Arabidopsis thaliana: one gene and its partners. The protein of the gene in region 4 interacts with the protein of the main gene of each other region in a pairwise test. Each region holds a gene or a part of one and is shown on either strand. Other genes may lie near its edges. The genes, in order: FIB, RING, ATHB13 and WRKY17.

What was found.
Region 1: the proteins of WRKY17 (region 4) and FIB interact in a two-hybrid assay, tested with the Arabidopsis thaliana proteins (one large-scale study listed by BioGRID).
Region 2: the proteins of WRKY17 (region 4) and RING interact in a two-hybrid assay, tested with the Arabidopsis thaliana proteins (one large-scale study listed by BioGRID).
Region 3: the proteins of WRKY17 (region 4) and ATHB13 interact in a two-hybrid assay, tested with the Arabidopsis thaliana proteins (one large-scale study listed by BioGRID).

Annotation. Positions count from the first base shown.
Region 1 is NC_003075.7:1,927,792-1,936,073, reverse strand, and holds FIB (fibrillin), read right to left. Parts: upstream 4,192-8,282; 5' UTR 3,914-4,191; coding exon 3,468-3,913; intron 3,126-3,467; coding exon 2,930-3,125; intron 2,843-2,929; coding exon 2,528-2,842; 3' UTR 2,124-2,527; downstream 1-2,123. Other genes in the region: AT4G04025 (transcription repressor), read left to right, coding at 1,465-1,980, 2,051-2,065. UniProt on the Arabidopsis thaliana protein: Probably involved in light/cold stress-related jasmonate (JA) biosynthesis. Contributes to the protection of photosystem II (PSII) against light stress.
Region 2 is NC_003075.7:10,711,004-10,718,427, forward strand, and holds RING (SBP (S-ribonuclease binding protein) family protein), read right to left. Parts: upstream 3,743-7,424; 5' UTR 3,633-3,742; coding exon 3,577-3,632; intron 3,489-3,576; coding exon 2,630-3,488; 3' UTR 2,407-2,629; downstream 1-2,406.
Region 3 is NC_003070.9:26,254,557-26,262,599, reverse strand, and holds ATHB13 (Homeobox-leucine zipper protein family), read right to left. Parts: upstream 3,813-8,043; 5' UTR 3,435-3,812; coding exon 3,299-3,434; intron 3,218-3,298; coding exon 2,835-3,217; intron 2,501-2,834; coding exon 2,135-2,500; 3' UTR 1,819-2,134; downstream 1-1,818. UniProt on the Arabidopsis thaliana protein: Probable transcription factor that may act in the sucrose-signaling pathway.
Region 4 is NC_003071.7:10,434,898-10,443,040, reverse strand, and holds WRKY17 (WRKY DNA-binding protein 17), read left to right. Parts: upstream 1-3,571; 5' UTR 3,572-3,818; coding exon 3,819-4,477; intron 4,478-4,968; coding exon 4,969-5,097; intron 5,098-5,187; coding exon 5,188-5,365; 3' UTR 5,366-5,688; downstream 5,689-8,143.

The DNA of each region.
Region 1 (8,282 bases), on a different chromosome or scaffold from region 4:
CTTAGTAATAACTAGGTAGAACCTTTAAATTGTTTTTTATCACCTCAAGTTCTATTAATGATTGTATTCTTTCTTACTTAATTGTGTTGTTGTGTCCGAAGGAATTTAGATGATACCATATCATTGTCTCTCAAGTGATCTTATCTCGACCACTATTTTCATGGTAAAAGATTATATACCCTCCAATAACCGATCCACAAAGATTCCAAACACAAACACAAACAATTTCTTATCATGGTTTTAATTTTTCTACATCGTATAATTGTTATCTGGTTCAAGTCCAATTGTTTTTACTTACTTTTTTTTCTATCTTTCATGATCCAACTGTTCTCAATATATATTTACCAATAAAAGAACAATAGATTATAAATTTTTCTAAACCCCAAAGCAAAAATGAGGTATTTGTACAAGCCAGCAGGATAAAGCATGTCTTGTCTCCAAGACACAACCATACGTTATCTCTTAATCTATCATTTATATTTAACGATTTTAACCAGCTTTTACTATTGAACTGCATTGCATGAATGATGAAATTACATCATATATAGGTTCTAGCGAAATCATGTATGGCACATTGCAATTATGATCTATTTAAAATTTAGTATGTCCTTTGAGAGAATGTTAAAACAAAAATCGATATCAGTGGTTTTCATTTTTTTCTCTTTCTATTTTTTAGTTGGGACAGATGATGTCAACTATTACATATTGATCACTTTTTCCACATTACCAAAAACTTTAAAGTTTAGATATCTCATCTTCAACAACAACAACTAAACTAAAGTAGACATGAAGATGGTCTACATCACATCATAATCAAATTAATCACCCCTATATTTCTAAAACACGACACAAATACATGCATTTAGTACTCCTTTCTTCAAAAAAAAAAAAAAAAAACAGTTATCTTCAATCAGACCTAATGTTCTCTATTATATTCCTACTTTTGATTTGACATATATTTTTCAGAAACTACAACATCTTTTTTTTCCAATAAGCCTTAATTATATATTAGTTAAGTGATAGTGGTCGATTTATCATTGTTTCAATGACTTGAAATAATGAATCAAATTTCACTGAACACACTCTTTTCTTTGATCTTGTAGAAAATTTATCAATTCGAAAAATTAAATGAAAGTTCAATCTAACCTTATATATCTAAGTGTACGACTTTGTATTGCATTATGAACACAAATCGTAGATACTAGATAATGATTTTGAAGAATATAAATAAATAAATATTAGTTTACACAAATGAATAACGTTGGAAACTTGTTGCGAGACTAAAATTTAAAAATATATCGTTTATTGAGGTTTTAATTATATTATGATCAAGACATAATCATGATGAACAAGCCCCACATTTTCAATTTACACATAAATGTTTTAATTAGAACTCTTTTCTATTTGCGTTTACAAACATCTAAAATCCTCAAAACCTGATTATAATGTGACTTAACTTTCAACATGAAACTCATAAACAGAGCAGAAGAAAAAGCAGAGAAGCATAACAAACAATCACAACACCAAACAAAAGAAGCAAGAGTCTGCAGAGCTTTGTGTTGCAGCAACAAAGCAAGACTCAGCATTTCTTCTTCTTCCTCGGTGGAAGCAGACAAGAGTTCAAGATTTTCAGACCATCACGGTTCGCTCTCTAGTCTAGCACACTACATGGTTCAGGAGAAGCTAGAGCAGATGATCAGAGAGACACAAGAAGCCACACATCAAGAGAAGATAAGACAACAAAAGATGAGAAGAAGAAGAAGAAGAAGTGAGGGTAGTATCAGTAGCACTAAGTTCATTGTCATGATGGCGATGGAGAAATGTTCTTTTGATCCAAGAAAGGATTTTAGAGACTCTATGGTTGAGATGATTGTAGCAAACAAGATCAAAGAAGCAGATGAACTTAGAAGCCTCTTGGAGTACTATCTATCGATGAATCCTCGCGAATATCGGTCTGCCATTCTCGAGATCTTTTACGAGGTTTGTGCTGATTTGTTTCGTAGCTAAGAGTGAACAAAGATCAGTTGTTTCTTTCAAATGTTTGTGTAAGATACCTGGTTTGTAACAAACCGGTTTTCTAAGTAATAAATAGATTTACCACCATTCATAAACCAAAAATAACTGAAATTAAAATTACAGAACTAGATACAAATTTTGGTTTCAATTTGGTATCCCCTTTGTAAACTCAAACCAGACCAAAATGCTGACAACCTGATCCAATCCGAGTCAAAAGTTCGAACTGAAACTAAACCGGAAAACCGAATGCCATACAGAATGCAAACCCTCCTAGTATACCAAATTTGAACCAATGCTAAGTGTTGCTGTTGCAAACCCATAACTGGCCTGTTCAAGTATGTAGTTATGTATATGTATTGTAGTACAGTATACCAAGAGTAACATCCATTATAAGTTTATAACTCTCCAACAGGTAAAGAAGCTATATAACAGTTACAACACTAGTAAACATAGACAGATGGGTCTATACTTGTATATATGTTACTATGGATGTGATGAGAGTTATGATGATTTAAGGGTTTAAGAGAGAGCTTCCTTCTTTGATGAGCACATAGACGCTTCCACCATCGCCTCTCGAGATCCGAAGGTCCTTGTCGAGATAAGTTGTGAGCAGCCACGACTGCGTGTTGTCACTAGGCAGAGAAAACTTCAATGGTGGTTGGTTTGAAATGGTTCTAGCCACTGAAGAAGCAGTGTCTTGGACTGATGTAAGTAAACCTTTAATGGGATTGAGATCGATTTTCTGACCAAGAACCTCCACGGATTCCGGTATTTCAATCGAATCCGTTAGCTGAGGAGTCCCTATAACACCTTGCTCGAACTTAATCTACAACAAACAAAACAAAAAAAACAATTAGGTTATGTAACATTAGCATTTGCCATTTGTGGTTTTAGGGGATGATTCTTGATTTACCTGGACACGTTTAGGACTTCGGATTTCAAACTTAGCGTTGGTGCTAAACGACGTTGTGGAAAACGGACCAGCGAACCGGACAGAGTTTTGAACGGTGAAGCTATCGGAATCAATGGTTTGTGAGATCTCATCCACTTTAACCAACGGTTCAATTCTTCGTGAGAGCAATGGGAACAACCCCACGAACGACGTGTAGCTTCACGAGATAAACACTTAAAAACTAAGTTCTTGATTCATAACAATAACGGCTAAAAATAAACGAAGGCTCATAACTACACACAGAATCATAATCCAAATTCATAATTAAATCTTCTTTGTAACCACAACTTGCTTTTCACTATCAAAATCAAATCATTCATAACGGAACTAAACAGTTTTCACCGGGAAATTAAACTTCCACCGGTAAGTTTAAAGTATCATTAACTTAATTGGTAAAGATCCTAGACGAAGCTTAGAGATCACCGGTTTGAGTAATGTTTGGGACAAAACTAATATTACATGCCGTGCCTAGGAGAGTATCAGAACTAAAAGTACTTACGCGAGGATCCATTTGCCGTTGAGGAGAAACAGAGCTTCGTTAGGAGCTGGAGTAGGGTTCTTAGACTCGAGCTGTGTGATGAGCTCGCTGATCTCAGCTCTCGTATCACTCGATACGCTTAAACCTCGATCTGTTCCGTACAACGAATCCGCTAGTGATCTCTTTAGCCTCTCCGTCTCCTCCACGGATTCGATTGCTTTATCTGCTACCGATACGGTTGAAGATGAGGCAAATACTCTCTCCACTCCATCTTGACCCCATTCGTCGTCGATGTCCGTCGCTCGGATTTTGAAATCTGGCCGATGAACAGAGACTCCAATCTCCGATCGCCGATTTATTGAGTTAATCGGTAGTAGGATCGGAGATTTCGATTGGTGTTTAGTGTTTGATGAGCTTGGATTTAGGGTTTTGCAGGGAAACTGGGTGAACAATGGTACCGTCGCCATTTTTGTGTTTGTTCTTCAGAGAAACCTCACGAATTAGGATTTTATAACCGTTGAGCTGGACTGTAAATGACGTATATACCCTTATCTGGTACACTTTCTTATGAACATATAAGTCAAGATCCAAGGGATAGAATAGGTATTTGGAATAGAACAAATGAGGTAAGCTAAGGTGGGATTTTGACACGTGGATGGTTAAAGATCATTGTTTTAAGAATCGACCTGGACTCGTGTGAAGTTGCCGACTTTATGAAAAATTCATAAAATTTGTGGAAGATTTTATTTTCTTCAATAGGGAAACAATTTGGTTTAATTTGGTTTTTGTCCCATTATTTGTGTGGGGGAGAATTTGTTTGGGTTTTCTACGAGAGTTAGGCCATGCAATGCAAATGGCATGATGGATCTAGAATCTTCGGACGTGTACTATACTTTTTGGCCGGTTTTGGTGATCTTCGATCTTCAGTTTTCTGAACGGTGAAGATTCTCTCCAATGCAAAATATCTAAACGGCGATTAATCAACAGTGTAATAAGTAGTTGGACTAAATGGGCCTGGATAGTATATTTAATGGGCCTTTATTAACAAAGAAGACCCATTAAAAATTTAAAATGAATACAATAGTTTTGTATCCAATAGACCAATAGGTCCAAAACGTTCTTAAAGGGAGAAAAATTAGCTGGTAAAATAATAGTACCGGTGTTTGTTCAAAAAAAATAATAATAATAATACTGGGCAGGTGTAGATATTCGGGTACTCATATCTGTTCGGTTCTTTTTTTTTTTGAGTATCGGATCTATTTAGGTATGAAGTTAAAAACCATTCATGTATTCTAAAATTTTGGTTCGGTTTTGGTTTGAGTTTGGATCGATTTAGTTATTTTAGTAAGAATTGAAAAATAATCAAAAATACTCAAAATATTTTTGGGTTCAGGTCGAGTTCGAGTTTTTTACTCATCTATACCTAAATCTAACCGAGATGCCTGATTAGTTTATCCAAAAATATATTAGTTATATTTTACCAAAATATAACCAAATGTAACCAAAATACTTAAATTACTTAGAAAACTATAGGGTGAGTTAAAAATATATACATGGATAAACAGAATATTAAGAATTTATACATAAAAATATGTTATTTACGTAAATAGGAAAGAGAAATAAAATATAAACCAAAAAATATCCTTCCGGTTTAGATTAATTACAAAAATGCCATTGATTCAAAATACTTTAATATTTAATTGGGAGATTTGCAAAACTGCCCTTATTCTAATAACCTTTTGTAAAAATGTCCTTTCCTGAAGGCCATTTTTAAAACTACCCTTTCTAATATGGCAAATGACTGTCTTACCCTTACTGAATGATTAGGTTTCACATTCGTTTCACAATACAATTCGTTTTGGCACAAACTTCTTCGTTTTGGCCAACGAATTTTCCTATCCGATTTCACTCAAAATCGCCGGCGAATTTCCTCTCCGATTTCACTCAAAATTGCCGACGAATTTCCTCTCCGATTTCACTCAAAATCGCCAACGAATTTCCTCTCCGATTTCACTCAAAATCGCCGACAAATTTTCTCTCCGAGAAACCCCAAAATCGCTGACGAATTTCCTCTCCGATAAATCTGTTCTTCGCTGACGGATTCAGATCATTTCTCTACGACGCAAACAATCCCCAGAGATATCGATAGATCCGACGGTAACCGTTTTTATAATCGATTTTATAGTCGATTTTATAGTAGATCTGACGATGTTTCATAACATGTTTTGCAGATGGATTCAGAGAGTGAAATCCTTACATTGCCTGAACAGATCTACAGAGAAGGTGAGGAATCTATTGCACTGGGAACCGTTCAACAATACTTGGATTGGAATTTAGTTAGTAAAGTAGAGGAAGCTTTAGGCGAGTGTTTATTTCAGAAGATTAGAAGTTCGTTTCTTGGTCTTCTAGTTGAATTGGGACCAAAAATGAAGGCTAAGAAGGGAATCAGATTTTCTGGGAAAATCTTTCACTATCTCATGCAGCAGAGAGTGAAAACAAAAGGATCAACTCTTTGGTTTAGAGTTGATTCTCAACCTATCTGTTTCTCCTTGAGAGAGTTCTATCTCACAACAGGTAATAAAGTTTTACAATCGTTTTTAAAGCTTAATTAACTGTCGTAGAATGATTTACAAGGCATTTGCATAACTGTTTGCGTAGTTTACAATCATTTTTAAAACATAAGTAAGTGTTATAGATAATTTACAAGGGATTTTAAAAGCTTTTAAAAGGGGTTTACTTCATTAACAATTATTTAAGAAGCATAAGTTAGTGGCAGATAATGATTTACAAGGGATTTTAAAAAGGGTATGCATGGTTTACAACCGTTTTTAGGCATAAGTAACTAACATAGAATAATTTACAAGGGATTTTAAAAGCTTAAAGAAGTGTTAAACACGTTTACATGGGATTTTAAAAGCATAAGTAAGTGTCTTAAAACGATTTACAAGGGATTTTAGAAGTGTTTGCATGGTTTACAATCGATTTTAAAACATAAGTAAGTGGGATAGAATAATTTACAAGGGATTTTAAAATCTTTTCTAAGGGTTAAACATGATTTACAATCGTTTTTTAAGCATAAGTAAGTTGAATAGAATGATTTACAAGGGATTTTAAAACCTTTTCTAAGGGGTTAAACATGATTTACAATCGTTTTTTAAGCATAAGTAAGTTGAATAGAATGATTTACAAGGGATTTTAAAAGCTTTTAGAAGGGTTAAACATGATTTACAATTGTTTTTAAAGCATAAGTAAGTGTCATAGAATGATTTACAAGGGATTTTAAAAGTGTCTGCATGGTTTACAATCGTTTTTAAAGCATAAGTAAGTGACATTGAATGATTTATAAGGGATTTTAAAAGCTTTTAAAAGTGTTAAACATGATTTACAATCGTTTTTAAAGTATTTAGTATAAAACCTGTAATAATAGTCTCTAAACTGTCTTTTGTTCTTACAGGAATTCAATGTGAACCTGTTCATAGGGAACTTCGACGAAAGGGGAAAGATCCTGTAAAAGAACCATACTTTTGGGCTAGTGAAGGATCCTATACTCTTGGTGATCTCGAAGATCGATTGTTTTTAAAACCTAAGGAAGGTGAACCTGCTGTTGAAGATGAAGAAAAGTTGTGTCTTGCTGCAGTAGTGTTGACTGAAGGAATTCTTTTGACACCATATGGAAAAGAGAAGATACGTTTGCCAAGATTGCAGCATGCTTCTGATTTTGAGATGTACACAGCCCAACCGTTGGGTAAAGAAGCATTCAGTGTTCTATCAAATTCAATTCTGAGAATGGACGAGAAAACTTGGGCAAAAGAGAAATATGATTTGAGAGGATTTGGACTCGCGCTAACAAGATGGGTGTTGAGCGCAGTTCCAGCATTTGGTGCAGCATATGGAGTTAGAGATAAGGAATTCCAATCTGAATATCCATTGATATTGAAGTGGAAAAGCACTACTACTCCAGAGTTTTTCAAGGTCGTAAACCTTGTAAATGATGTTTCTGAGGTAAGCTTTTGTCTATTTACAAAATTCTTAAAATGGTTTTGAGATTTGAAGTTTTGCTTTCTCAAGATTTGTAATGTTATTGTATCTTCGCAGATGGAGGTGAATACAATTATTGGAAACCCAGAAGAATTCAAGTCTTTAGTTCCTGATTCCACACAGACGACACAGAATTCCAACATATTTTGGGACTTGTTAATATGGGCTACAGATTGAAGAAAACTGAATGGAATACAAGATGCGTTGATGTTTGTGCTGCCCTTGAAGAAGTAGGTCAAAACAAAATCAATAACAAAATATCTGATAGCGAGAAACTTGACAGGATTTTGACAATCCTTGAAGATCTTAACAAGAGAGTCGAGCTGATTGAGAGGATTTTGGACATTAGAATGGAGGAAAAGAATAATCAGAGATCTGAAGAAGATGAAGAAAGAAAACAAGAAGATGAAGGACTAGAAAGACAACCAGAGGTAATTGTAAATGTTTCTTTAAAAGCTATTTGAAAGGAAAGGTTTTACAATGTATTTTAAAGGTTAAATACGTAGTAAACCTTTACAGTGTACTCTTTTTTTCGCAGGCTGAAGAAGAAGGAGGACTAGAAAGAAAAGCAAAGGTAATTGAAAATCTTTACAAGCTATTTTAAAGGTCTACTAATTATATTAATGATTGACTTATTGTTTTTATTTTGTTGCAGAATGACAATGAATCATTTGAAGATTCAATCCGAGAGCCAAACACACAGTATGGGAGCTATCTGGGTGATGATGAAAACACCCAACGTTATGTTGGTGATGAAGTAGCTGAAGAATCATCAAAAGTACAGTAATCTTATATCTC
Region 2 (7,424 bases), on a different chromosome or scaffold from region 4:
AAAATATTTTGCAAAATGAATGGAGCATGAGGAAGGGCCAAGGAAGAAGAGAACCTACGATTTTGGAAGAATATCACCCATTCACTTTACATGTCTTGTCCTGAGATTCTATTGTTTTTTTCTTCGGATATCCTGTCTATAAATAATTTAGGATCTTGAATTTTCATCTCCGAAATCGCCATGTGAAAAATATACATATATATTATATATATTAACTAAGAACTAATGTACAATTATACAAATTCTTATCAACATATCTTAAATAGACGAGGTTAGTTCCAAGGTTGAAATGGCTCTTTCGTCCCTATTATAAGACAAAATTAAGTTTTCTTTTCTACGATTCGTCATTTAGTTTTCTTATCGATTGTAGCACTGTGTTTGCGTCTATGTTTCTACGTATGATGAATCACTAATTGGCCGATACTCAATTTTTATAGATGTTGGATGTAAATTACGATAAGTATTTTTGACTTTTCTCAAGATCAGTGATTAGATGAGCAATTAATGTAAAGAAATTTGCTATTGAAACCCATTTAAGAAGTCGGCGCAATATAGAGGCTCGTGGTCATGAAATCAGTGGATAGAGTGCTAGACCCGATAACATAACGATATATTCGCTAAAAAAAGTTTGTGCAGCCACTTATCTTCGTTTTGATATCTTGAAAAATAATCCTCAGAACAAACAAATTTCAGTTCAAATGATATATGGTAATGTTACGGGTCTAGTCACTCTAGCCATTAACTTCATGGCTACGAAAGTAATTTCACAATTTTCCGAAAATTCTGTATGTGATCATTTTTGAAACTGGTTTTACCTGATTCTTTTGATATGTTGTTGTCGGGTGCTTTGTAATATCGATCTTCTCGTATGATTGCCTCCTCTTGTCTTTCTAGTTTTTTTTTCTTATGGAATCTATCACATTATACATGTCTTGTGGTAGATTTGTAATGGGATTGGTCACACGATGTCATAGTATTCCTATGTTCCTTTTTTCTCTCCAAGGTATCTTGCCGTGTAATATTTTTCCATCTCTCAAATCTAGAGTACTAATAATTAAGAAATCTAAAGCCTAATAGATAGTGTATGGACCGACAAAAAATAATAGATAGTGTATGGAAGTATCCGAACAGCCCATTTGAGAAGCCAGCCCTTTTACGGAATCACTTCTTCTAGTATTTGGTTGTTATTCGGATAATCGGATCTTCTAATTCATGCTAGGTTTGGTAATGGTACGACGATAATGTTTGATATTATTCTAAAATAAACGATAACTATCCTTTAAAATAATATCTAAGACTTTAGAAACGCTTTATAGATTTTTATAGTCCCCACAAATAATAACAACCATGATTTTTTCTGATATCTAAAATTATAAGAGTATTTCGCATCAGAAAAAAAAAAAGAATACAATCCAAATATACTTATGAATTGTTGGAAGTAAATTTTTTAGACAAAGCTCCAATTAGTCACAAACATTATCTTTGCAACAATCACTAACTAATTTATTTTTTCTTATTCCCTTGTCCAAACTCGTATAAAGTATAAACAAATTAAAAGATAGGGTTAGGTGAATATAACATAAAACTTTGGGCGAGGGTAAGTAACTACGTAATGTAGGGGCATGGCCAAAAGGAAAAAAATAAGTATGGGTAAGAACGAAGACATGGAAAAATGTGAATTCAAACTCTCTCTTTAATTAATTTCTGTACGAATCATCGCAGAGTCGTACCATTTTCATTTTCGCCACTATTTCGTTTCGTGCCATTTGATCCAAATAATTCTAAGACATAAATTAAACTAAATTATTGGATAGAGACATGGTAACGTTTCTTGGACGCAATCATCGTAACTCGTGAATTCACACATCGTATTCATCGTTCTAATTTCGTCGTTTATAGAATTAATATAGGATATAATTTTAAAAATCCATTTTAGTGGGGGTATTTTATTTTGTCTAGACATGCACTGCACATGACATGATCCGAATATGAAATATTTATTACACGACAACTATAATGACTATGAACTGAAAATGTCGTTGAGACAATCGAATTCAGACTATTTCTTTTTCTTTTATCATAATTTATTTTAGTTTCGATAGCGAAGTATGATTCTTCTGGTTGAATATAGTTGCGGGGTTGGAAAGATAAAGGATACTTCCAAATTGCAATAGTATATATCCATAGACCATTTTTATACCTTTTTCAATTTATATCGACGCTATGATAATCTTTAAAAGGTGGTAGATAATTCAAACTCATGTGATCGACTTTGAGAATAAGCAACCAAACAACGGTGCAACTTAAAAAGAACTCTGGAATATTTACTTTTCAAAACATTTTCGAATCACTTTAAATTCATTTATATGATTTATTCTTTCTTTTTTTCCCACACATAATGAGAGGAGGAGCCTTTAAATTCTCTTCGACAAATTATTTCGTCTTTCTTTTTTGCAATTTTCAGTCTTGGATTCCATTTAAGTCGTAAGAAAATCAAGAGTTAACCAAAAACTAATTTATATGTACTTACAAAAAGAAAAGAATCAATTTGCTATTTCTTTTGCGAATATAATCCTAAGGAAACAAAAAAAATATAAATTAAATTGTAACGAACAAAAAAAAAAGATGGTCAAGAAGACATGTTAACATGCACACTAGCGTTCATGACCATATCGCAAACCGGACAAGTCCGTAACAAAGCCGAACCACCACAAACCGTACACAAACACAAATGACGACATGGTAACACCAACACACTCGCTTCTCTCTCACCGCACCGTTTACAACCACCACCAACCGCCGTTACCGCTTCACCACCACCATCACCGCAACAACTTCCACAACTCGATTCCGCATCGTCTTCTACAACGGCTGAAGCGGTTGGAAACGTTTCGAGTTGAGCAAGAACTTGGTCTAGGTTTGTTCGAAGAGTATTAGCGTTTGCTTCGTTGGTTTGAGCGATATCACGCCAAATCTGATTTTCGACGTAAAGACTCTTCACCCTCTCTTGTAAAACCCAGTTTAGGTTTCGAATCCGTACGATTTCATCGTCTTTCTCTTTTAGTTTCTTGGCTATAACGTTTTGAACCGCAGACGCTAACATCCGCGTTTGCGTTTGTTGCCTTGCTTCAATCTCTATTCTTAGCTTCTCCGTTTGCTGAGCTACGAACCTATCGATCTCTGACTGTTGTTGGTTTTGAATCTGAGATACGAGTTCAACGTTTATCAACGACGGTGATGATGAGTCAAACGCTACGGACCTCCGTTTAACCGGAGCGTTTGAGTCTGAGAATTGAAAATCTCGCTGGCGTTTTGTAGACAGAGGAGGAACAGTGAAATTGTAACTGAGACCACTTTCTGCTTTGTTGAAGTTGGCTTTCGCAGCTAAAGGCTCAACGGCGAAAGATTCTCCGGTTATTAACGGAACTTCACCGCCGGTAAACTCAAACTCGCCGTGGTTCATGTTTTCTTGAAATTTAACACAATCTCTGCAAATAACAAAAATAAAAAAGATTAGAGGAAAATAAAAACAGAGGAAGTTTGTTTGTGAGAAGAATATAAAAATGAGATTTTTACCTGTTTGGTGATATAAACTGAGAGAAAATGTTCATGTGATGAGCTTGAACAGCCATTGTTGTTGAAAAAAGCTCCTAGAGATTCTGAAACAAAGAGAGAGAGAAGAGGGAGGAGTTGTGGCGACTGGTGAAGAAATCTATGGGATTGGCTTTTATTTAAGGGAGAGAAAAAAGTCAATATTTTTTTAATTTTCTATAAATACATATTTATTACTTTTACTATTTAAATATTTTAGATATTTAGAATAATTATGAATTCAAATTAGATATTGACTTTCATGGTATATTACCAATTGTGTTTAGTAATTAAAGTTTTTGTAAATTAAATGTTAGTAAAATACAGTTGATTTTTGTAAAAGGAAAAAGAAAAAGAAACAACCAATTTTATGAACTTAAAAGGAATATAATCTAGAGAAATATAAAATATACTAAGTTTTTATTCAACAATATATACTATCTTTCTTGAAGTTTGCAAATATTGGGACGTGTAAAAAGTTTTTTTTTTGTAATATTTCTTTCTTATTTATTGATGCACTCATGCATGTTTCCTTAGCAACATCCACATAAACATATGCAAGCTTGACTAGTCAAAGAGCCATTATAAAATCAATAAATTTTTTTTTGCTAATATGTTAATGATATTAGCATAAACTATTCGATTTTTTCTTTTGTTGAAAAAACTATTAGATTTTATGTTCTTGTCCATCCTTTTTTGTATTATTTCTAAAATTTAAAGATGCAAATCCTATAAAAAAAGGTGCAAAGCTGTTTTTTCCTTAAATGCATTTTTAAAAATGTGTAAAGCTGTCTTTCCTAATAAAATTTTTATGTTAGTTCACTGTATTCTCTTCTGTAAAAAGATTCCAAATTAACCTCTCTTTAGTCAACCCATATTTTTCTTATTAACTTTTCCTTATTTTGTGATTACTGTAATTAAATTTCATATCAAAAGATAGTATTAAATATGCATACTCTTCATTTCTTCAGTTTTATTTTATTTAAAATTTAAACCATTCCCATGATTTTAATTTTACAAACTATAAAGTTACTCTCGTAATTTTATTCAATGTGGCAAAGCTCCGCTTTATATCTGCCATGTCATCTTCCACCGTGGCATATTTGGGACTTGTGATTTACTTTTCTAAATTTTCCGTGAGCTATCTTAAGATCATGTAGCGGTGCATTGTATTAAACGAAATGGCACAAAACAATAATTTAACCATTGTAAATACATTTCTAAAGTTAATATGTTTCTTAATTTTGTTTTGTCGTAACTGGTTAAGTTGCACGTGAGAAGCGTGTGGGGCCATGATGTGAAGATTGAGGCCACGTCTAAGTGGGACCAAGAAAAACTTTCTGTTTCATTTCTTCGTGAAATTTTCAATAAATTAATAATTGTTTAGAAATAAATAAAAAAGATTTATTGTTTCGGTACCACCAATTTTGTTTGCTTCTTGAATTGTCGTCTGGTCGCTTTTTAATTTTTAATTAGTAATTTCCGTATTAAAGAAAAAAAAAAGGAAAGAGAAAATCGGAATCATTCGATAATGTTATATAGTACGGACAAGTAGGTCTTGTCATAAAAGTGTGATTTCCTCGGTGTGGGACAGGTCGACCACACCAAACGAATAGTCTTTTTCTTTTCCTTATTTTCGTTTTCATGCCTCTCTCTATTTTTTTTTATTGTTAATCGATTTTTTATCCACTAAACAAACATTATCATGATGCGTATCTAATGTTGTTCATACCAATTTTTACATAGTAACTTGAGCACAAAAGAGTTAATCGATTATTTTTGTTATAGTTATTGAAAAAACACATATATATTTATTAGGGCTAGACATAAGTACTCGTTACTCGTCTTATATTCGCTACTTGATTCGTATTCGCCTTGAAAAAACAAATGCTCGTTTTTAACAAGGCAAGTAACAAGTAGTATAATTTAGATACTTGCAAGTACAAATCAAGTAACAAGTAATGAAAAAAAACTAATACTCGACTCGTTTGACTCGATACTCGTCATTATTTTACCATTTTCTATACATATATTGTATTGTTTTAGTGTTAGACACATTTTAAAACTATATTAGAAGTAAAGTAAATTTTAAATAAGTAAAAAATATGATAAATAAAATAATAAGTAATTTTAAGTAATTCGAAAGTGTTACTTGCAAGTAATTTATTTGCAAGTAATTCGCAAGTAGCAAGTAATAACTCGTAAATACTTGTAAATAACTCGTGAATATCAAGTAGTAACTCGTAAGTACATGTAAGTAACTCGCAAGTAGCAAGTAACAGGACAAGGCAAGTAACTCGCAAGGCAATCATATTTTAGCAAATACTTGAAATTGTAAGTACTCGTTTTCAATAAACCAAATACAATTACTTATTTGATTACTCGTACAAGGCAAGTCGAGTAACAAGTATCCCTAAAATAGCAAGTACTAGCCTTGCGCCCACCCCTAATACTTACGTTAAAGTGGACGATCTCAATCTCTTTTTACAACCGAGAATTGTGTAAATATCGGTTCAGTCTTTCTTTACCGATACATCATATCTATTTTGAACTCAACAACATTTTTTGGTGTAATAGAAGTTTTTCCACATATGATATTAAAAGAAAAATCAATTTAGAAGACCAAACCACGATTATTTTCCTTAAAAGTAACAGTACTGAACAACTTTGAGGATAAACCAGACTCGTCGAAAAAGACAACTTCGGTTGTCTTTTCTTTCTCAACTTCATTTGTATATATATTTTGTCGACATATTCGTTTGTCTAATTATCGATTTTGCTCCAATGTCAGAAACTAAGCCTAACATCATCACTTGTTCAGAGCTTTTTATCATTTTAGAATAGACTACTTATTTGTCCCATTATACGTTTTCAAATTCATTTTCAATTTATATTCTATATGTGGATTTCTAATTAATATTGATTTCGTAAGTTAGACAAACGAACAAGATAGATGTGGACGTACGTGGCCGAGTTCATGCTATATATGAAGGAAACGTGACAAGATGAAAACTCCTAACTTTTTAAAATCAAACAACTAGTGTGAATTGAATTCTCTAATCATGTATATAGCTAGTGTCGTCAATTGCTTTATTTTATAAACATATACATTGATTCTTTCAGTCGCGGATTAGTTATTACTAATTATTTGCGTAATAGATAGATATTTTTTTCAAATTAAGTTTCAAAAATTATAAAAACAACGAGATATTTTTTTCACCTAAGATGTTTATACTTTATAGAGACTCAAACAAATATTCAACAATTTTACATAGATGATCGAACTTAATATTTGATTTTGATCCACTTGACAATTTTACATAGATGTTTTTTTTTCCACAAAAAAAACTCCTACGTTTATATTGTCCCTTTTACAGTTAAACCTTTTCATTTTCATTTTGTTTTATATGCTATGTGTTATGTATGTACTATTTCTCTTTAACAACAGATAATGACATGACATTAATATTTACATTCATATTATATAAAAAGACAAGAAAAAATGCGGAAAGAAAGTTGAAGAACGACATATATAACTTTTGAAAACTCGAATTGGTCCATCCTTATCGGCACCAACTACTAGTAGGTGTCAGTCAGATTGATCCATCCCGGCTTGGTCTATGCACGAGTTTAACGGATGACATATACATATAAGGTCGATTCGTTTTTTTTTTAGTTCACGGGTCATTTTTTGTTTTCTTTCTAATTTTATTCTGATTCTAATTTAAGGGTTAGTCTGGTTGATCCGTTTTTTAATATGTATATTATGATTTTATGATAAATAATTACATATCTATATATATTTATGATGAATATGAAACAAGTCTAAAAAT
Region 3 (8,043 bases), on a different chromosome or scaffold from region 4:
ATAATCAGGCAACAAGCTTTTAACTACAAAAGTTCAAAAATATACGTACCCAATAACATTTATAACTAGATAGCAAACGTAAGGAATGTTTTACCACATGTACAATTCTATGATATAGGATTTTATCATACAGACACATGCACACAAGAAGTCATTTCCTAGTTGTACAATTTATAAGTATATTACGTGGAAGTGATAAGAGTGAGCATATAAGTGTAGTTGAAGCATCCAAGTTTACAAAGGGTCCATTAACCAAAAAAGCAAAGCAAACCAAACACGGTTAGCTAAAAAGAAAATTGTACTTTAGGAAAGAAGTGGGTGATTCTAGTGGGTCGCACCAACGCATTTCGTTTGATATGTTTTGTTTTGAATTCTTATAGTCATTTAGAGACTAGAGAGATCGTGTTGAACTAGAGCTACATAGTATCATTTGCAGTATTTTTTTTAGTTAACACCGAGTATCGAGATATTTTCTTATGGACCTTTGGGTTAACACCAATAATTTTCAACATGGGGGTTTGAACATGTTAACTGTTTTGATTTTTCAAATCTAATGAAAGTTAAAATATCCTTTGATTTTAATCTAATTTAGGATTCTATAACTGGCGACACTTCAGTTCTCTGGTTTTAAAAAGTTGGCAATTCACCACTAGTTCTTTAGAAGAAAAAATCAACGGTGTTCTAGCCTACAACCGCTTTTATATATGGCGATCAATTTTTTTGGTTCAACATCGTTGAAGCCAACATTGGCCTTAGTTTCTCCACATCTTTGGGTATTAAGCAACTTTTATTTATAGATTTTGTCGCATTCTTTTGTCGCTAGCATCTTTTAAAATTTTAATTGATTTTTTCTAATGATTGGTTCAATATTTTTTTTAATAAACATAGATTGTAAGTGAGATTTCAAATTTATCACCAAAAGGAAACATCGAATTCTTTAAGAAATTTCCAAAAGTTTAAAAGTGTCGGCCATTTGAATGTGGAAGATGAAAAGGAGTTAAAAAGGAGAAGAGTCGATTAAAAAGGAGAGTGACAACTTTCCAACCCCAAATTGTTTGCTTGCTTTCTTCCAACTCTCTTTGTCCTCTTCCTCTATCTCCCTTGGAATCTGTGTGCGTCTAATGTCTCTTGCTGCTTCTTTTACTCTCATCAAATCTATAATCTCTTCTACTTAAAATCCCATATTATCTTAAAGAAATTGAGGATATCTGATTTCTTAAAATATTTTTGTGTTGATGAACCAAGACTTCTAATGGGACTATGCATTTAATATATGTCATTGATAGATGAGTACTATTTTACACGGTGACACATTATTTTAATGCATGATATGTTACTTGATACCTCATCAATATTTCTGCGCGAGAACGAATGGCATTGTCATCAAACCGGACAACAAAGGTTTTCATCAAACCAAACTCTAATTTGCTGTCTTTTTTAATATAAAAACAAACTATAATTTGCTGATAGTGATGTTAGATTTTTTTTTCTTAAAAAAAAAAAAAAGACACACACGGTGAAATGAATAATGTAACTGTAGAATAAGAGAAGGGTTATGAAATTGATGGTCTGCGGCATCGTCAGATTTAAATATCGTACGTCTTTTGTAAGGTCTCGTGATTACAAATTTCACTCGTTTAGATTTTGTCCCATCATTTTTCTTTGGTCCTTTTAACCCGCTCGACCAAATCATGACATATGCAGAATTTATTTCATGGATTTAAACAAAAATAATGATTTGTTTCATGGAAAATGTCCTTTTCATTTGTGCTATTCCATTTATTTCTTCCCACTTCTGAATATGACGACTACGACCACATGGTGCCAGTACCCACGACTAAACTATATAATATACAATTTATTTTATTTTTCTCCATACAGAAAAATGTTGGGCCATAATGATATTATTTTTTATATAATATAATGGATATTACCCATTTTTTTACATCTCATTTACTCAAAAAGTAAACAAAAAACCTCAGTGGTGTTTGGTTGCAGATTTCAAAGTGAGCTAATGATATAGATTCCAGTTTTTGAAAACATGCATGGGTTCTTCTGATCAAAATTCCAAATACAAAAAAAAAAAATATAAATTTTTTTAAAAACAAAAACAAAAAAAACAGGTAGACCAATTTCAATTGTACTGTTGCTGATCAAGCCATGGCCAAAAACCAGAATGGTCATCCATTGCACAGAACATGTTACTGATACTATTCTCTTCTTTAACCATACTCTGTCCTGAAGATGAGTTTTGAAAGAACTGCATTGTTGTAGTAGTTGTCGTTGCGGTGGCTGGCGACGGTGGGAAGAAGTGTCGACCAACTGTCTGTGGTGGCGGTGGGTGGCCACCGGTTAATGTACTGTCGTTTGATGGCGGCGCAGTTGAGATATCTAGTCTGAGATTATCTGAACTGTTATCACTTCTGTTACTGCAAGATCCTTCAGTTTCTTTGTTTAGATTTATTGATTCTGTTTGTTCTCTGTTTTTTAATCCCATTATCTGCGTAATTAAAGACAAAATTTTAAACATAAACAGAGTTACTGTACAATGTGATAAGCATAAAGAAACTATTGTTTTCAGATCTCTTTCCAGACAAGAGTGAAGAAAAAAAGAGATAATGATGTCTGAAAAGTCATGAATCATGTCCAGTTTTTTAACCCTACCTGAAAGCAACTCCTGATCCAAATAATTATAAACCAGAAATATAATTTTTAACCTTTTTTAAAAAGAAAAAAATCATCCTTTAGATGGAAAATAACTGTAATTATTGATCATTAACCCAAAAAAAAATAACACATATTGATTTTTTTTGTTAATTTATGAGATTAATTACCTCAGCTTGGAGTTTCTGATTATGAGTTTGAAGAAGATCATTTTCAGCTTTAAGTGTATCAAACTGTCGTTTAAGAGTATCATAATCTTTCTCTAGCTGCTTTGTTTTCCAACGAGCTCTTCGATTTTGAAACCAAATCGCGATCTGTCTTGGTTGCAAACCTAAGGCACGAGCTAGCTGCATTTTCCTCTCTGGTTCAAGTTTGTTTCCAAGCTCAAAGTTCTTCTCTAGTGTCTTCACTTGTTCCATGTTCAATCTCCTCTTCTTCTCTCCCATTTGTGACCCATCATCTGAATAATCCTCTTCTCCATTCATATTGTTCCCTGTTTCTAAATCACAACACCCTTCCATTGGAGATCTCTTACCTAGAAACGAAGCAAATCCTGAAACAGAACAGAACAGAGCATTAGAAAGAGATAGAGAGAAAACAGAGGAGATGTGTGTGGAAGTTTATGTATATATACCATGGAGATCTTGAGGTAGAGAGCAAGAAGGAAGAAGAGGAGCAAGAGATGGAGATTGATGAGGATGATCATCTTCGTAAGAGGTTTGGATCATGAAATTTGAAGGGAAAAAAGACATTCCATTATTACAAGACATCTTCTTCTGTTTTGCAACAGAAGTTAGTACTGTTTGCTTGAGATTTTGGTCGTTTCTCTTTAGTTTTTTCTTCTTGCCAATCTTTGTCTTAAAGCCATTATCATGGTCTTATAAATCTGAAGCTCTTTGTGTGAGAGTTTGAAATCAAATGGAAAAAAAGAAGAAGAGGAAAAACAAAAGAGAGAGAGATAGTGAAATGTATCGGCCTAGACTATACCACTTCTGGTATTTAATTTCTTCTTTATTTCGTTTTATATAGAAAGGCTGAGAGAGAGAGAGAGAGGACATATGAGCTGAGAAGAGAAAGAGACGCACTCAATTGATTCTCTCGTTAAAAAAAATAAAAATAACACGATCAAATACAAGCTTAAACTTCATTTACGTTAAGCCAAAGTATATATAATTATTAACTCCAATTTTATCTTCATTTTCGACAATCGTTTATAGATAGATATTTTTTTAACCATTGTTGGCTTCCAAGTAAAAGTGGGATCCAATTTAATTTACCCTGGTATATACTTACTCTTTAGTCTTTAGGATAGTGGATTATTGTGTGGTGCGCTGAGATTCATCTATAAATAAAATTTGCATCAGACCACAACAAAAGACACAGTTTGAACTTTGAATATGATATTGAGGTGTAATATCTACTTTTAGTTGGAGATAGAACAAAAAAAATGGGGTTAAAAAATAAATAAATGTAATTGCAGATTAAAAATCGTAGAATTGACCAAAACATGTAATCTTAGTGTTTTCGTTGTGTTATTACTCATATCAAATTGGCATAATCCTAAATATTGTTGAAAATGAAAAAAGGAAGCAAATTACAAGGGGGTTTAGCTTGCGTACAAAGTGGAAAATGAAGAGATGATAATCAAAATGGTAAGAAGAGAAAGGACTCTTCTTTTTCCCCTTGGGAGAGACATGCAGAGAGGTGTTCTCTCTCACTCATCATACTTGTCCTTTAAATTTTATCTAATAACTTTTTCTTTTATTAGATTTGTCCTTTTTTTTGTAAGTCCAATTCTCATCTTAAATCATAACTATCAAAGTTGTGTCTCTCTCTCTCTTTTTATCATCTAAATTTATTTCTAAAGAACTTAATTTACAATTTATTTTTCGCTAAATCATTTGCATAGGCTGAGAACATATGTAATAAGTAGCTAACTAACGCCTTTCATACTTCTATTGATGTAAATTAATTTCATATATATAATGATGTAGTGATATTGGGGTAGGGACGAAGCTGGATAGTGAATGGGTCCAATGTTGATCCTATTTAATCACGCTAGTACGTATGGACTATATATAGACCCATCAAATAATCGTATTGTGTCTACATGGATTGACCTAGACCTGTGGATCTAGGGATTGTACATAATTTTATTTTATTTTTTGTGGGAAGAAGAGAGAAGTGATATTATTGATTTTCAGATGTTCTATGATGCTAGTTTTGATTATTTTGATGTGAAAAAGGAAGATTGAAATATTTAACAAAAGAAGAAGATAATAGCTGCACTTGTAAACCATAGTATAACTGTGATTTTTTTTTTAGTCGGATATATAGTTACTTTAAATTTGTTCGTTTTCATTCTTCAAATAAAAACGATTGCGGGTGAATTGGAAAGATCAAGGCAGTCAGAATAACATCAGAGTTCATAAGAAAATATATTATTTTAGGTGTCCGTCTTACACCACCCACCTTATCTAATACGGTCTTCATTCAGAACCTTAGTTTAATCTTTTAGTTCAGAATATGGAACGTATATAGTTAATCTTTATAGGTAACTGCTAAAGTCTATCGCTAAAAAGGTGAAAAAGTAGAAATTAAACTAACAAAATATAGTAGTGTAGAATTTCTCTATATGTATTGTTACTTCGTTTTTATTTAGAATTCATCATTTTTGTATGAAATTAAAGTTCAATAAGTCTAAAAAGTATGATCGGTCCAAACATAATTGAAATTTGGTCTGAAATAGAATGGAAAAGCAATCACCATCTCAAAATAGCGTTTAAACGAAAAAATTATATTGAAACTGTAAATAGACTTACAATATATACAAAAGCATGGATTATACGTATGTCCATGATCAACAATCTTGTAACATGTATTTGAAATTCTAGATCATGTCTATGAGAATCATGGTACATCAAATCTGATCTCATCAAACCTATTAGCTTTGACCTAACCTATCAACCGCAAGACAGATACCAAAACGAAACAAGAAATCAATTGACTACTGGTAATGCTATATGTATATATGTAGAGTAATATTGATTGACCAATTACAAAAAAGTTATACAATTAGCAAAATAACAATAATAGGAATAATCAATAAGTATCACAAAAGTAAAATTCTCGCTAAGAGAGAAGGGTTTCTCGTGCTATGTTGGCCGATTGATTGGTATCATATCAAATGGAAGTGATGCAAAAAATTCCAAATGCATTATATTAGAGAGTTACAAATATAAAATCTAATGATGCAATTTCTTAAAACCCTTTTGTTGTTTTCCATTTATTTAAAGTTCATATATATAACAGACCTGTTATATGTTAGATAGCTTATGTACACATGAATGCATATGTGCGTGTGTATATGCATGCATAGACAGACGTATAAAGATGGTGCGTGGGGTACTTAGGTTAAGGAAAAAACCAAACAAAACTACTATTTGATTAACCCCACATAAGAGCTGTTCTATCTTGTCTCTCCCTCCTTTCCTCTTCCATTCCTTTCCATAATCAATCTTTCTTTTTATTTTATTTTATTATTTTCTTAATTTCTCTTCCCAACATCCCTTGTGCCGTATTCATCGATGATGTTTACTCTAACATCATCAACCACATAATTATTAACATTTTAACGTTCATTTTCACTTTCGATTAGACTACTATTCATTACTTTGAGACTACTTATCCGTCTCTAACTGACATTTCACGCATCACATCGTGCCGTTCTGCAATCAAAACTTTTGTATCAAAGTACTTTTACTTATCCATGCATACATATAGCTTCACAAATACCCGAATATTTATTGAATGAGTATGATTTAATTTTTATTTTGTATGGAATGTGAATGACCCAAAAAGTTATTTTTTTTTTTGGTAAGGAAAGAGAAATTAAAGAAGTTATAAACAATCTGGTTTTTAGAAGACGAGTAAAAATTGTTAATTTCAACTAATTATTTTTAGTACTCAAGTATATATTATATTTATTGGCAAAACATAAAAGATGTAAACATCTAGATACATTTTAATCCATTCGAAGAACTTAACAAAAAAAAATTTCATACATTATATTACATTCGGTGTGGTACAGATCGCACGGTCAATCAATCTAAAGATCACTTGCGGTGATTGAGCGACGTTGTATGATTTTATCCATACTTCATATTGTTTACTGTTATGATCCATTCTTCACAAGATTGACTAGACGCGATATATGTGCACTCTTATCATCAAGAAGTGAAATATAGCGTATGATTAGATATGTGAATTTAAAGGCTAGTCTTACAAGTTGCTAGCGAATTTGGAAAACTTGTATAGTCGTTTTTTTTTTTCGGTATGATCACCCAACTTTGACGTATCTATTTCAGACACTATAAAAGCATATGTTTCGATTACTGTTTATCCAAATGGAAATGTCTCGCCCAAAACCTCAACATGAAAGTCAGGAAAGTCCAACAACGTAGTTTTCAAGAAGTCACAATATGTCCCTCCTCTCGTGTCACACCACTCCTAGTCCTAGCGAACTAGCTGCATAGTGTAAAATACTTTATATATGAAAAACTTAGACATAAATATATATATACGTGTGCGTGTGTGATGCATGTTTATTGTTTTTTATTCAGGCCTATATGCATTCTACATGTTTTAGATCAAGATGGTGATACAGAGACACTACTAATACAAACACTTGCATAAATCCTCTATGATTATGTCATTCGTATTCATTATTTTAAAAAGAAAATTTACGTCAATACTTGAAATACATTAATTGATATATGTTTTCCTAGTTTTGGAGAAAAGGGTGGTGTTCATATGTTGCAAAACACAAACATGTAAATACAGCAAAGAAGACATAGTGGACCCATGACAAGAAATAAGGCCCAAAAGTTGGGCTAATTTCAGCCATCACGACAAAGGCTACTTCTCATTTCGACATCCATATTATTCTATTCTTGTACACTTCTCTTTCATTCACTCGTCATTAATATGCCTTCAATCTAATATATTTAAGGACACAATTATACACACGTCCATATATAAACTTATATTGTTGCCTTGTTGGATATATATAAAAGTTATTGTAATTAGTAGTTACTAGTTAGAGTAATTTTCAGGTCTAATAGTGATGAGATTAACGTATTTTCTTCTTTAAATTTCAGTTATTTGCAAATAATGTCACTGCTCGATTTCCTGGAATAAAGGAGCTAATAAGAGTATCATGTTCTCCTTCATGTTACCATTTCACGTTTGCACGTTTTTTTTTTTTTTATTATGAACAAGATTACGATCACACGTTCGGTTTGTTGTTTAGTCGTTCCAAGTGTATAGGAGTTTTATCCACACAAAAAAAATTTTGATAGGAATGTGTAATTCCATAAA
Region 4 (8,143 bases):
TTTTTTGAAAACATTGTTTTGATGACTAAAATGACTTATTTTCTACCTGAATTCATGGTTTAGGGTAAAATTTTCAAAGATATAAAATCACATACTTAGAATTTCAAACCAAATTTCTACTAATTTACGTTTAACCGGTCAAATTCTGTAAAGAATCCTAATCTTCATTCTTTTAAGATCATAATCAGCTATCTAAAGTTTATGAAGACCATTCATTGTTTTACCAAGTCCTTGTTCCTAGCTTAAATCTTCATTTTCATTTTTGAACCATTTTGATTTCCCCTATATCTAGAACTCAAGACATACAACTTATATCATACAATCTAAAAATACAATTAAATTCTCTATTACGATTTTATACTAAAACATCAACCAAAGTAACCATAATTTTTTATGAATAAAAATATTCTATGCAACAAAAAAATTGTTTTACAGCAAATGCTTTATAGTAATCAAGAGGTGGAATTCGAAATCTGAGATAGCACTTTGTAACCTAAGATAAAAATTAGTGTTACGGGTTTGAAGTCAATAGTAAAAACATCTTTCGTAAGATCATATTCTTGGCGTTCGTATAGTGGTGAGACTGTTTCGTACACTTTTGTTAATAACTCCTATGAATCTCCAAGGCAGAATGGAGGAATTTCACAAAAAGAAAAATCTCAATATCATTTCTGATGAAATTGATGGTCAGACAAATAAAAACAAATTTCCGACCGGTAAAAAATTTAATTCTCTAACTTTTAAATTTTTTTAAACGTAATCGAAAATTCTTTAAAAAAATATTAAGTTAATTTTTTTATTTTAAAAATATAATCTGAGTTTATTAAAAAATTAATCATTATCTCATAGATATTAATACATTTACCAATAATTTATCTCGTGGAGGTTACATTGACTTCTACAAACTATTCAAATCGATAACTCTAATTCGCTAAGTAATCCCCAAATCTTTTCTCAGTATCTTTGGCATAAATAAAGCCAAATCTTCTCGAGTGAATAGCAATAATTATACATCATGGCTTATATATTGTATTTTTCTGATAACAAATGTGCATTATTTCTATCATCCACTAACTAATAATTAAAAATTCAATATTGACCGTACTATTATAAAAAAAAAAAACAATGGTTGGAAGTTTGAAATACGTAAACAACAAAAAAACAAAAAAAAATAAAACTTCGTTCGTTAGTACCGTATGAATTCATAGATACAACATATACAAAATAAGTATTTTACCCAACATGTGTCTTCTTTCACTGGTTTGATCTCATTCGTTTTGCATGGGCTAACAAAACAATTATTTCAAATACGCGAAGATTATTATTTCTATGCGACCATTTTATAGAAAAGATAATTTAGATAAGATATAAAGGAGACATTTTTAGAGGAGATAACATTGAAATATATAGTATAATATATTTTTAGAGATTCATAAATTATAAATTTAGAAAAGGACATTAAAATTTGATATAGAAAAGGAATTTAAAAGTAAGTAAAAGTTTACAAAATCAGAAATGAAAAAATAAAATGCTTTTAAAAAAAATGTAGACGTGCACGACAATCATATATATTAGTCGGTTAGGTCAACGATTCCCATGTCGCTAATTTATAATGCATTCCGTTGACAAATATTTAAAAATGTTTCAATTATACATCTTGAGGTCTGTTTTTGCACACATAACACGTCATATATCATTGACAAAGAAAACACGTCGTAATTTTCTTTTTCTTTTTCTTTCATGTAGTCTTCTTGGCTTAAAAGAATTCAGCTAAGTAAGTATGGTTGATATTTTCTTCTACAAGTGATAAAACTTTGGAATTTTTGAATAAGTATAATTACAAGAAAACACTGCATATAACAACTACAAGAAAACACTGCATATACCAAAATTATCGAAACATGTATATTCCGACAAACTGAAATCACCGGAAAACGGTGGTGTATTGAAACAAAGAGTTGTTTTAACTGAAGTTTGAAAGTAAACAAAAGATTAAAAAGTAATTTATAGTAATGTTAATATTTACTCATGTTTCTGCTTTGGTGATTAGTAATAAATCTTCTAAAATCTATATGCCATTTTATAAATGCGATTAAAAATTTACCAATTAAACCTTATTTAGAAAAATGTAGAGAAAACTTCAAATTATCTCCTCAAGTAGGATTAGATCGAGCTGCAAATTGGCTCTTTTTATTCATTTAATTTCCTCCATTCCTAACTGTATTGGTATTGTTTACTTTATTTCTATAAGCAACAAAAAAAAAAGAATCTTGTGGACAGGTGACAATTTATGAGTCAGCCAGAATTGCCACGTGTCGGAAGATCAGTTGCCGTGGTAAAAGGTGTTTTTTAGATTCTCAAAAAAAAAGTAGTTAAAGAGAATAATATCAAAGAGTCAACTCCACAGTTCACAGATCCACCGTTGGATCTAACTTTTGGATTATCAACGGCCCAGATAATAGTTAACCGGAATCACTCGGTTACCGAGGTAGTCAATAGTTCTGTGTTTTAAAAAGAAATGCGTCCATGTGATCACTTTTATTTTATTTGTAGTCAGCTTTTGTTTTCCTACTTTGTCGTTTTTCTTTATCGCTGTTCTCAACTAAAGACTTGTAGACTATACTAATAAGATATAGTCAACGATTGTCGCTGTTATTATAGCCTTTAATCTCTATTAATGATTGTTAATTGTTCCACAATCTGTGTAGATTAATTAGGTAAAATTAAAAGTCAAGAAAAGATTGTTTTCAATTTACTAGTTTTCCAGTCAAGACGTTTTCTAGAAGGCTATGAGGTAAGAAAAAAAAAATATATATTAGGTGCAAAGTTAATATGGGAGTCAAATATTATTTTCAAATAATTATTATTGTCAATGCACTGCAAAATTAGTAATAATTCTAGAAAGAAATTGAAATAATAAAAATATGCTGCAAACACGAGTTTGGTATGTGTGCACCATATAATATTGACAAGTTGTAGTGTTGGTTGAAGCTAAAAATAACACAAAAACATAAAAAGAACATGAATAACGCCTAAAACTTAACACGAATAAAATAAAAAAACATAAAATATATTATCAAAAGTCAAAATCACAAAAGAAATTAATACCATTTTACAATTAGCTGAAAATTTATTCTATCAAAATCCAGTCCTATTAAAGAAAAATATGTGATTTGAGATGAAATTAATATTACATATTTTGATTTGGTTCAAGAATAAATTATGGATTTTGGTTAAAGACCTTCTAATATTCCAAAGAAACAAAAAAAAATCAGCCCAATTGTTCATACAAATAAAAACAATTCATTACCTTTAATTTTAAATTTATTGACTTGAACTTGAAGACATAAGATACCTAATAAAAGAAAAAATAGATATGAGACTTTAAAAAAGCTTTATGATTTTCTTTAGACACCATCCTTTAATGTTTTTTATTTGACTTTTTGTTTCTTTGAAATTCCTTTACCACCATTTTCCCCAAATTCAAGTTTACGCACAATGATTCCTTTATTTTAAAGACACGATTATAAATTCTTGCTTTGCACAAAAGAAGACCCTACATATCTCACAACTCAAGGAGACCAAACTTTGATTACTTTATTCCATAGAAATCTTCAACTCAATCTCAGCCGTTAGATCTAAAGCACCGATTTGACTAAACTCCATCTTAAACCTACTCAACCGGTCACTCGGTCACACCCATAACCCCATATATCACGCCAACGCCATTCTTTTTTCTTCCAGTTTCGCTCTCTCATTCATCAAAAAAAACTTGCACATCTTCTCAGATCTTCAAGTTTCTCCTCTGGTTTCTCATCATGACCGTTGATATTATGCGTTTACCTAAGATGGAAGATCAAACGGCTATACAAGAAGCTGCATCACAAGGCTTAAAAAGCATGGAACACTTGATTCGTGTCCTCTCTAACCGTCCCGAAGAACGTAACGTTGATTGCTCTGAGATCACTGATTTCACAGTTTCTAAGTTCAAGAAAGTTATCTCTCTTCTTAACCGTTCCGGTCACGCCCGGTTTAGACGTGGTCCGGTTCATTCCCCTCCTTCCTCCTCCGTTCCTCCACCGGTGAAAGTGACAACTCCGGCTCCCACTCAGATCTCTGCTCCAGCACCGGTTAGCTTCGTTCAGGCAAATCAACAAAGCGTGACGTTAGATTTCACTAGACCGAGCGTTTTTGGCGCTAAAACCAAGAGCTCGGAGGTTGTTGAGTTTGCTAAAGAGAGCTTTAGCGTATCTTCTAACTCTTCTTTCATGTCTTCTGCGATCACCGGTGATGGAAGTGTCTCTAAAGGCTCTTCGATCTTTCTTGCTCCGGCTCCAGCGGTGCCAGTGACTTCCTCCGGGAAACCGCCGCTTTCTGGTCTTCCTTACAGGAAGAGATGCTTTGAACATGACCACTCTGAAGGCTTTTCCGGCAAGATCTCTGGCTCCGGCAACGGCAAGTGCCATTGCAAGAAAAGGTATTGTTATTACTCCACAATAAATTAATCATTTGTTTGACTAGCCTAGTAGTAGTTAATTGTTTGGTTCGATACGGTCTAAACCAATCGCTCACGGACTCAGTGAAAATATATCACGAATTCAGATTTCAAAATTCTTTTTTTGCCTCGAATTTGTCAATCATGAACAAGTCTACTAGTTAAATTAACTAGTCTCAGTAAAAAATAAAGAATAAAAATCCGGGTTTAATACTTTGTAGACCGGTTTGGTACTATCTAAACCAATCGGTCAATGTATTTAGTGAAAGTCAACGACAGTAACTTAAACCAAAGTGCACGCCTGACAAGGACAAGTTAGTGGGTGCTGTCGTTTTGTATAGGGAAAGTTTTTACGTTTTAAAAGTCTTTGTCTGCCCGTTGACTTTTGCTAACCTGATGCATGTTCACGTTAGTCGTGTCAGCGCACGTTAAATCATTTCACTAATTACAATGTTTTATTATTTAATTAACAGCCGAAAAAATCGGATGAAGAGAACCGTGAGAGTACCGGCGGTAAGTGCAAAGATCGCCGATATACCACCAGACGAATATTCATGGAGAAAGTATGGACAAAAACCGATCAAAGGCTCACCACATCCACGGTAACTATCGTACACCATCGCTATCCACCGTTGATTTATTTGTGAAACATTGGAGATCTAACGGTTGTGATTTGTTTTTGTTGATTTCAGGGGTTATTACAAGTGTAGTACATTTAGAGGATGTCCAGCGAGGAAACACGTGGAAAGAGCTTTGGATGATTCAACGATGTTGATTGTGACGTACGAAGGAGAGCACCGTCATCACCAGTCCACGATGCAGGAGCATGTAACTCCTAGCGTGAGTGGTTTGGTGTTTGGTTCGGCTTGAAGAATTAATTAGTTTGGTAGTTTTGTAATATTTTGAGAAATAGAGGGGTTGGTTTTGTAATTTTTTTTCTATAACAAAATTAGTTTTAGATTTTTTTTTAGTAGTCTTTTGAATGGATTTTAATCTTACTACCGAGAAAGAAAAAATTCTTACTACATTTTCATAATTTCTTGTTTGATATATTTAGTGGTGTCATGTAAGAAAATGATGTTTAGCAAAGTAATTGGTATATAAATGTGTAGGCATATGTATTTAATGATATGGTTCGTAAAGTTACCATTACTCTGTTTGATCTAGTTATGATTTGTGATGGTTGATTTAGGGGAAAAATGTCATTTAATCCCCCAACTTTCAAAAAATGGCCATTTTATACATCAATTTCATATGTGGCCGTTTAAAACATGAACTAAACGTTGACTAATTTTTAAAACATGATCTTTCGTTGACCAGGCCAAAATAGACATGCCGTTATCAGTCATTAACGGAACTTCTAACGTCCGTTATCATTCGTTAACTTTATTAGTCAAGTTTCAAATTGTGGCCATTTTAAACATCAACTTCTTATGTGGCTATTTAAAACATGAATTAAACGTTGAATACCATTTAAAACATGAAAAATTCGTTGACCAGGCCAAAATAGACATGTCTTTATCAGTAGAACCTAGAAACCCGTTAATGACTGTTAATCTGTCCAAAATAACGTCGTTCAAGAATAATCGAAAGAACATAAAGATTTTTTCCATATGAAATCTCCATATCAAAAAGTTTTAAGCAGAACCCAAGAACATAGTTTGATAAAGAGATAATCGCAGTGCCAGTAATTGGAAGCAAATAAAGGTGTTTTCGTTTATATATTTGTTTTAAATTTTAAAAGGAATCATGGAAGCAAATTGAAGACTCATTATAAGATTGTTCGTCTTGTTTGAGCGGTTGTAAAAATAGATTTGGGGAAGTAGGGTTTCATTTAGAAAACAATCCTGATTTTCTTTTGATTACTCTCAAAACAAAGTCGTTTTAGGGATACTAATAGAGTCGTTAACAAGTGATAATGAATGTTATAAGTTCTTTTAATGAATGATGACAACATGTTTATTTTGGCTTGGTCAACGAATTTCTCATGTTTTAAATGGTAATCAACGCTTAGTTCATGTTTAAAATGGCCACATATAAAGTCGATGTTTAAAATGACCACAATTTATAACTTGACTAATAAAGTTGTTAACGGATGATAACGGACGTTAGAAGTTCCGTTAATGACTGATAATGGCATGTCTTTTTTGGCCTGGTCAACGAATAATCATGTTTTAAAAGTTAGTCAACTTTTAGTTCATGTTTTAAACGGCCGCATACGAAATTGATGTATAAAATGGCCATTTTTTAAAAGTTAGGGGATTAATTGACATTTTTCCCGTTGATTTAATGGAGGGTTAGACTTTTGGAATGGGGTTGTTAATGCAATGTTTGACTATTATGTAAGTTTATAGAAAGTCAAAAAGAGATTTCAATGAGTTGTTGGGAGATATTAGATGTGGAGGTTGAACAATATGAATTAATGCGGATTTGAGGGTCAACGAAATCATTATGATGTTGGAAGACAAATAATTTTTGGAACAATATTAAGGAACATTTGCGCTATGGAACATAAGTTCTCACTAAAGGTATGACACATATTTGCATTTGTTTATGTGTATTTCAAAGTTTTGATTAATATGTCATACTTGGTCATAATTGAATACTTTTTGCAGTGTTTGTTTATGAGTATTTTGAAGTTTTGTTCTATTGGATGTTTTGGATATGATATTGCCCCTCCAGCTTCGGATCAGATTCCTTTTCAAATCGATTTTGTGCTTGTGGTTGTTACTAGAAATTAAGACGATTGAGATCTTCACATATCTAATGCTACTAGTGTTTATAAAGTGTTGTTACTTGGTTGATAATTTGTTGATTGTGGCTTAAAAAGGTCTTATCTATGGGAGAAGGATATTGAATTCTGTCGTAATTTTGAGAAGATGGGAGAAAGAGGTAAAACATCTGACATAACTTAATTTGTTTAGTTTCTCATACGATTTATACAATTTCAGTTGAACTATTTTGTGTCCATTTAGCATAGAACACATGTTTAAAAACGAATTAATGTAGATTAGACACCTATTTATATGGATAGTTCCTTGTTCGTTTGATTTTAAGATATATTTTTATATATTTAAACGAATTTACGTATGGTTTGAGTTTATAAATAGGAATTAAGGTTTATTGTTTTACATTTAAATAAAATACGTATTGGTTTGGGTTCATAAGGTAGTTAGGGTTTGATGTTATACATTTAAACAGAATTACCTATCAGTTTGAGTTTATAAGATAAGGATAAGGGTTAGTATTATTCATTTAAACCAAATTATAAATCAGTTTGAGTTTAGAAGGTAGGATTAAGTATTTTGAAATGAATTCTTGGAAATGGTGTTAGCGTCATAATAATTAGCATAGCATTTTTTTTTTTAATATCTGAAAGTTCAAGCAAGAAGGTCTTACATCTTCTAGAGGCGGGATCCACAACAAATTATTAAATTCATCATATTTGGAAAACGGATTCTTCTCAACGGGCGTCGAACCCAGTTGGGAAATTTACCACTTTATTCATATATAAGCATCCATCAACCTAATCCATTTCTTATTTAACAATTGTTTGCCAGTCATGCGTTAAGTTTGTTGCTATAGTTAAATCTAAAACCTTACACTCTAAATTTTTAAATAACATTGTCTATATTCATCTATGTCGTC